2 linked regions of the Canis lupus familiaris genome follow. The protein of the gene in region 2 purifies or fractionates together with the protein of the main gene of each other region. This does not show direct contact. Links are inferred from orthologs where the notes say so. Each region holds a gene or a part of one and is shown on either strand. Other genes may lie near its edges.

Evidence for each region. Proteins that work in one complex are often made in the same cells at the same time.
Region 1: the proteins of REL (region 2) and TNIP2 purify together in Homo sapiens (affinity purification with mass spectrometry; 3 studies listed by BioGRID and IntAct, counting the BioPlex papers as one, with this or other methods). This does not show direct contact. The link is inferred for Canis lupus familiaris from reciprocal best matches to the Homo sapiens genes REL and TNIP2.

Annotation. Positions count from the first base shown.
Region 1 is NC_049224.1:62,041,770-62,045,734, reverse strand, and holds the start of TNIP2 (TNFAIP3-interacting protein 2), read right to left. Parts: upstream 2,801-3,965; coding exon 2,513-2,800; intron 2,382-2,512; exon of another isoform or gene 2,229-2,381; intron 1-2,228. UniProt on the Homo sapiens protein: Inhibits NF-kappa-B activation by blocking the interaction of RIPK1 with its downstream effector NEMO/IKBKG.
Region 2 is NC_049231.1:62,276,135-62,280,307, reverse strand, and holds the start of REL (proto-oncogene c-Rel), read right to left. Parts: upstream 2,801-4,173; 5' UTR 2,594-2,800; coding exon 2,584-2,593; intron 2,468-2,583; exon of another isoform or gene 2,338-2,467; intron 1-2,337. UniProt on the Homo sapiens protein: Proto-oncogene that may play a role in differentiation and lymphopoiesis.

The DNA of each region.
Region 1 (3,965 bases), on a different chromosome or scaffold from region 2:
TTCATAACCAACATTCAACATACACACCCCAGACTCAACACAGACAGAACACTTCTCAGAAACCAACATGGACACACAACCCTCAGAACACAATACTGGCATACACAACCCTTAGAAAAAACATGGATATACAACCACCGGACCCAACACAGGCACAGCGCAGGAATATACATCCCTCAGAACCAACATAAACACACAAGCCTCTGACCCAGACAGGCACACAAACTCCTCAGTAGCCAACACAGGCAAACACACCTCACAAACCCACATGGGTGCAAACTCCTTGATGCCACCACAGACACACTACTCAGAACCAAAACAGACATCGTGGTACTCTCTGACCCAACATGGGCGTACACACCCCTCACAACAAACATGGGAGTATAACACTCTGAAGCCAACATGCATGCACAGACCTCAGAACTGACACAAACACCTCAGACCTAAAATGGACACACACACCACTGAGAAGCCACTGAGGTACACATCTCCTTCGGAACCCAACATAAACACAACCCCTTAGAACCTAGGCAGGCACATTATCTCTCAAGTCAACTCAGACACAAACCTGAAGAACCAACATGGGCACATAACCCTTAGACCTGACACAGGTACACATGCCCCACAGAACCCAAGAGGCACACACACTCCTCAGAACCAACACAGACACACGACACTCTCAGCCAGCCAGGAAGCACATCCTTCAAAACCTGACACATGCACACACCCCTCAAAACCCAGGACGAGAGCACACTTCTCAGAATCAACACAAATACACATCCTTCATATGCAACATAGAGACATGTCAGAAACAACAAGCACAAAAAAAGAAGAAGAAAAAGAAGAAGAAGAAGAAGAAGCAGCAGCAGCAGCAGCAGCAGCAGCAGCAAGGACAGACAGCCCTTTAAAACCAAATGGAGGGATCCCTGGGTGGCGCAGCGGTTTGGCGCCTGCCTTTGGCCCAGGGCGCGATCCTGGAGACCCGGGATCGAATCCCACATTGGGCTTCCGGTGCATGGAGCCTGCTTCTCCCTCTGCCTATGTCTCTGCCTCTCTCTCTTTCTCTCTCTGTGACTATCATAAATAAATAAAAAATAAATAAATAAATAAATAAAACCAAATGGAGGGACACCTGGGTGGCTCAACGGGTTAGCGTCTGCCTTCCGCTGAGGGCATGATCCCAGGGTTCCGGGATCGAGTTCCATGTTGGGCTCCCTGCATGGAGCCTGCTTCTCCCTCTGCCTGTGTCTCTGCCTCTGTCTCTGTGTGTCTCTCATGAATAAATAAGTTCTTTAAAAAATAAATAAATAAATAAATAACCAAACGGAACCCAACCCTCAGACCTAATATGGGAGCACACCCCTCAGAATCAACACAAACACGCACCCCTCAGACCCAACAGAGGAGCTCACACCTCAGAGCCTAACATACACAAACACCCCTCCCACAAAATCCAGACACATACCCCCTAGCCCTCAGATCCCAATGTGAGTATCATACGCCTCGACCCAACACGGGAACACACACCTTCAGACCAACAAGGACTCACAACCCTTAACATGAGCACGCCCCTCTGACCCAACACAGGATACACTCCTCAGAATCTAACACACTCACATACCCTCAGAATCAACAGGAACACACAACCCTCAGACCAAACCAAGCATACACTAACTCCTCAAAACCCGACGGGGGCTTACACACCTCAAAACCAAAAGACGTACAACCCTAATGCCCAACAGCGCTTCATATACACCCCTCAGAACCCGCAGAGTCACACAACAGGTAAGCCTGACACAACCTTCAAATATAAATGGGCACACAGTCCTTGACACAACCTGGAGCACACCCCTCAGAACATAACACACACACACAACCCTCAGAGCCAACCGGCACAAACACCCCTCATACACAACCACCCTCAGGTCCAATGGGACACAAATCCCTCGAACCCAGAATGGGCACAAACGCACAGACGCAACACCGGGGTGCACCCTCACCTGAGGGCTGGCAACACCGCCCCCAAACCTTAGACCCCGAAGCGCCACCAAGGACGCACAACCCTCACACCCGTCAGAAGCACGCTAGAGCGGAGTCCCGACGGGCAGGAGGAGCTGTCCCCCTCCCGCTCCTCCCCGTCGCACACCCGACAGGGGCAGCGGGACGGCAGCGCCCAGGACGGCGGGCTTCTGTCCAAGGAGCCGCCCCTCCTCGCTCGGCGGCCTCACCTACTGCAATTCTCTGCTCCTCCCGAATAAACCTAGTTTTGCTGGGAAACGACTGGCAGCCTCAGCTTTAAGGGGAAGGCGTCCGCGTGCGTCCTCAGAACCGACAGGCTGACGCGGGAGCGCCCGGGGAGCTGCGCGGCGGCCCCGACAGCCCTCCGGGCCGGCCCGCCGCCCTCGCTCTCGAGCCCGGGGCACCGCTGCAGACCTCTCAGAGCCTCCCCGGGGCTCGCCCCGTCAGTCCCCGCCGCTCGCCCCGGAAGCGCGCTCGCCCGCCGCGGCCGCACCTGGCGCAGCGCCGCCTCGCCGGCGCCGCCCTCCCGCTGCCGGAGCTGCTCCCGGAAGCGCGCCACCTGCTCCAGCAGCGCGTCCACGAGCGAGGGCGCCGCGTCCCCCTCGAGCGCGGCCAGGCGGGCGCGGAGGCGCTCTATGAGGGCATCCCGGGCGGCCAGCTGGTCCTGCAGGCGCCGCAGTCGCTGCCCGGCCTCGTGGTACAGGCCGCAGAGCGCCGCCGCCGCCGCCGCCGCGCGCGCCGCCCCCTCCTGCCCCCCAGACCCGGCGCCCCCTGAGGCCATGGCCGTGGGCCTGGACCGCCGTCCGCGGGTGCCGCCGACTTCCGCGCCCGGGCTGGGCGGGCGCCGCACCTTCCCGGAACTTTTCCCGGCGCGCCCCGCCCACCGCCGAGAGCCCCGCCCCGCACACAGCGACCGGCGTGGCCCGGGACCCGCGGAAAGGCCGTCCCAGACCCTCCGCCAGCCCGGCCCCGCCCCCACCGCCGCCCGGCCCCGCCCATGGCGACCGCGTGGCCCCGCCCCCTGCCGCCAGCCCGGCCCCGCCCCTCCGCAGGCCCCAGCTTTGTGACCCGGTGGTCCTCCTCTGAGTGGCAGGCTTGTCCCAGAGGCCCGGTTCCCTCCTCCTCCAACGTCGGGGGAGTTTTCAAGGAGTCAGCGGAGAGGAGAAGCGAGGGTAAAAGCCGCCTCTATGCAGCCGCTGATAGGAGGGAAAGAAGGGAGTCAAGGGCGACCTCCAGTGCTGGACCCGTGCGCCGGTCGCATCCGCGACCTGCAGGCCAGGCTGGCCACGCCGAGCAACTTGAGCAGGGCAAGGTTCCAAGAGCGGAGCCCCGGGGGGTGCTCCCTCCCAGCTGCAGGGCAGTGGCGCGGAGCAGGGCGCTGCCCCGAGCCCGAGCCCCGCTCCAAGGTATTCTTAGAGCAGAAGGCGGAGGGAACTGCCCTGCTCTACCCTCACCTTCCCATCTCTTTTCTTCCCACAACTGCCCAGACCAACCACCAGTGTGTTTCACTCTGTTTTCTTTTTCAGAATCTGCTTTCGCCCACGGTCACACCAAGCACAGCCGTGGCCTTTCAAAGGTCACCCTGCCCTGGTGTGTGCGCCTTCCCGTCTTCCACCTTGTCCCCCTCTGGTTTTCCCCTTTGTGCAGTCCACTGCCAAGGTTGGGCTGGGCCCAGGAAACACCCTGCAGGCTTGTAATCAAGTCTCATACAAGTGTATGAGCAAAGGCAGCTCAGGCTTCCTCCTCTGCAGAGGGAAGATCAGGGCCAGTACCCTCCCTCCTGGGTGGGGTTGTGGGGCCTAGAAGAGGAGGTGCACATGTCCTACACAGTGTAAGTCCACAATCCCTGGCCATGGCTATGGATGAACCGTTTTGTTTGGCTGAGGCAGTGGTAAAGACAGAAATGGCTCGGTCCCACAGCTGATTGAGGTGGGATGGTCCTCATT
Region 2 (4,173 bases):
TTTTAAAACATATTTTACCAAAGACAGTACTACTGATTAGTAAACAGAACTATGTGTGCCTAAGAACACTTTGCACTTTGTACTGGCACAAGGACGAGCTTTAATTCAGACATAAAATAGCTAATTTTACTTACATTAAACAATACAGAATTATAAATATAATAGAGTAATGACTGCCTACCCATTCCCTACATGAGACAGGGAACATTTTTGTTAACAATACCTGTTCTAATTAATTGTGTCAAAAGACAGAAATCAAAGTGTTAAAAAAAAAAAAAAAAGGCAGTAAAGAGAGCTTAATAGACCCCGGTCTGTGAAACCCTAAATAATTAATTTGATAATTTACCTAAACAAAATTTAGAATCATACTTACATACATATGATATATACACACATATATATTAAATTTCCAGTTACTCATGATACTTAAATAATTTTGCTAATGAGCCTCTGATCTGTTAACTTTTACATTCTACAGATAACATATTCAGCTACACATACCTATTTACATATGACATCCGGTAAGAAAAGAAGAAATGGTCTTAAGTGCCTGGTAATCAATAAAAATATTTTTTGAGGTTTTAATACTACCTTACTACAAGTAATCTAAGCTAGGCAACGATAACTAATTAAGCAAAGTTTTTTTCCTATTACTCTTTCGGTTTAACTACTGTTTCAAAACAGGAAAAGAATTTATAATTTACTGATGAGTCTTTTTCTCTAAGGCCTTTACAAGTGATTAAAAACAATACACCCAGACTCCTTTTTTAAAATTTCTTTGGCAGTTTTCATACAACTGAATTACAATTTAAATAACTTGTCATATTAAATACTCCCATTCTAATGCAACTCCAGAAAAGGAAAGAAAAAAAAAAAGATAATGATCCTACGACTTTTCATTCCTTTAAATTCTTTCCCCTTCAATTTAGGAAATCAGTCCTCACAATAGCACAAAATACAGTGCCATTCAACAAATTTAAATTGTATCACATCGCTGAATGATGGGGGCGGGGGCGGGTGGGGGGGGTCTTACCTTACCCTCTATGTAAATGGTTCTTTTAAAAGAATCACAGGTATTACACTCGTGCCACATATTAACGAAGTTTGGTTAACTTGCCAGCAGTCAGACTTTTCTTTTCTTTTTTTTTTTACTTATAATGCTCACCGTTCTCTCTGACTCTCATACAAAAAAAATCTCTGTCAACCAATAAATCAGCCAAATATCTCAGATCATCTTTGCCCTCTTCACCCTCTTCATCTCAACGTGCTTTTAAATGATAAATTGACAAAATTATCTGAAAGTTTGGGGTCACTGAAGTGGGTAAAGAGAAAGTTGAAATATTTTAAACTTGTATTCTCACATAAAAACCACAGACAAACCGAAATCAAATGTCATGTGAACCACCCCAATTTCCTTTTCGGCCTGCAGCAGCAGCTAATGGCATTGTTCTGCTCAATCTTCTTTTAAAAAAAAAAAAAAAAAAAAAAAAAGCTTTCTACTTCCTCTTCTCCAGACACCAGCCTCCGAGGGTCACCAAGCCAGGGTCTTGGGAGGGCGCGGAGGAAGCATAAACAAGCCCCCCCCCTTCAGCCTCCTGGCCCAGCGCTGAGCTCTATTGTAAGGCCTCCCTGCCTCGAAACCGCCCCATGAACCTTGCCAGAATCCTCTCCAAGGCCACCTCGAGCAGAGCCCGCTGGATTTACTTCCCTCTAGGTTACAGGCAGATCTAAACCCCGGCTGCATATCATATAATAATAATAATAATAACAATAACAGGAGGCTCCCTCCTCTGCCCTCCAACTTTTTTTTTTCTGGGTAAACTCGTCGTCCACTCCCCCTGCCCCCAAAGCAAGAGATCTACGCATCTATCTATAAACGGAAAATAAATTGTTACCTGAGTGATGCAAAGTTTTCATTGCTAACTCCTATTTGAAAGCCCGGACACTCCCCTGCCTTCCAACGAAGAAATTAAAAAAAAAAAAAAAAAAGATAACGTCTCCGTAAACCAGAAAGTACCCGCTTTAAAGTGGAAATCATCCACTCGGTTGAAACAACCTTTAGGACCAGGTAGGGCACCCCCGGGGGGGGCTCCTAACCGAGCCTCTCGGTGCCACTCGGTGCCACTGTCAGCACATCAGCGATCACCGGCTGGCACTTGATGAAATTGAAAAGAAAGAAAAGAAAGAAGAAGAAAAAAGAAAAGAAAAGAAAAGGAAAAAGAAAAGAAAAGAAGAAATAGAAGAAAAGGCAGAGCACTCCCTCCTGAGGTCTTCACTCCTGTTCTAAGACCTAAAGCCTGAGCAATTCAAATAAAAACCCATTTTGCAATACGTGACCTCTCGGTCCTCCCGGCGTGAGGTTCCCGGTAACTGCTCTGACCCTAAACCATCAGGGCGCCGGGACGCATCCTAACGGCCTCGGGTCACCGCCCGGGACTCGCATCTCGCACGCAAGCCGGGCCGCCCTCCCGAGGCCGACGACGCGCGGGCCGAGGCGACCCAAGGGCAGGGGCGCCCGCGCGCCCCGAGACCGCCGCGCCCCCCGCCGCCCCGAAAGCTCGGACCCGCGCCGCGGACACTCACCCGAGGCCATGGCTCCGCTCGCCGCGCCGCCCGCTCCAAGCGTCCAGACCCGAGGCCGCACGAGCAGCCCGCGTCGGTCCGGCGGCCGAGGGACTCTGCCGGCGGGCCCCCCGGTGCCCCTGACCACCCCCGGGGCCTCCTCCTCCTTCCCGCCCTCCTCGGGGCTTTGCGGCTCACACCCTCCCACCCCCTGAGCGCTCGCGTCCGGGATCGCCGGCTGCGCCCGTCCGGCGTGCGGGAGCCAGGCGCAGGGGGCGGAGCGCCGCGACAGCCGAGCGCCCGCCGCGGCCCGGAGGCTGAGGCCGCCCGGCGGGAGGGGAATTTCCCGCGACTGACGTAGGCCCCCCCGGCCCCCCCGCCCGCCCGCCGCGCGCACGCCCCGCCCCCTCCGCGCGCCCCGCCACGCCCCCTGCGGCCCGGGGGGCTCCGCGACTGGGTCGGGGCCGCGGGGGGAGGCGGGAGCTTCGGGAGCGCGGGGGACGCCGGGAGCCGGGCGGTGACGGTCCCGAGCGTGCGAAAGCCGCCGGCTGCGGAGAAATCCCCCTCCTCCAGGTGGTTCGGAGGCGCGTGGCTTAAAGTTCAGGAGCGGGTGGGAGGGTGCGCTGACGTGCCGGGGGGCCGGCCGCTGGGAGCGGGGGGGCGGGCCGGGCGGCGGGGGGGGCGGCTCTCCCGGGGCGGCGGCGCGGGGGGGCGCGGGGAGGGAGGAGAGCGGGCGCGAGGCGGGGGGGGGGGGGCGGCGGGCCGGGGTTTTCAATGGGTGGTTCCCCCTCTTCCCAATTTCGTACATGCAAATCTCCGCCCCCGCGCCGCGCGGACGTCCCGGTGAGCCCTGGCGGGGAAGTGCGGAAGCCGCGGCGTCGCCTCTGTTCTTCTGTGATGCGCAGATTTGCATTTGGGGACCCCCGCCGCCGGATCGCCCCCCGCCCCCATTCTGCCTCCGCCGGCGGAGGTTCTGTCTGCTTCACCTGCGGCAGCTCTTGAGGCTCTGGAAGAGCCGCCCTGCGAGTTGGGTGCCTCGTACGCGCTGTGCTTGGTGAAGGAGACGCCGTCCGGGATCTGACGGATAGACTCCCACGGGGAAGGGGATAGACTCCCACGGGGAAGGGGGTGGGGAGGGGATAGACTCCCACGGGGAAGGGGGGGGAGGGGGATAGACTCCCACGGGGAAGGGGGTGGGGAGGGGATAGACTCCCACGGGGAAGGGGGTGGGGAGGGGATAGACTCCCACGGGGAAGGGGGGGGGGGGGGATAGACTCCCACGGGGAAGGGGGTGGGGAGGGGATAGACTCCCACGGGGAAGGGGGTGGGGAGGGGATAGACTCCCACGGGGAAGGGGGGAGGGGGATAGACTCCCACGGGGAAGGGGGTGGGGAGGGGATAGACTCCCACGGGGAAGGGGGTGGGGAGGGGATAGACTCCCACGGGGAAGGGGGGAGGGGGATAGACTCCCACGGGGAAGGGGGTGGGGAGGGGATAGACTCCCACGGGGAAGGGGGGAGGGGGATAGACTCCCACGGGGAAAGGGGAGGGGGAGGGCGATAGATTCCCACGGGGAAGGGGGAGGGGGATAGATTCCCACGGGGAAGGGGG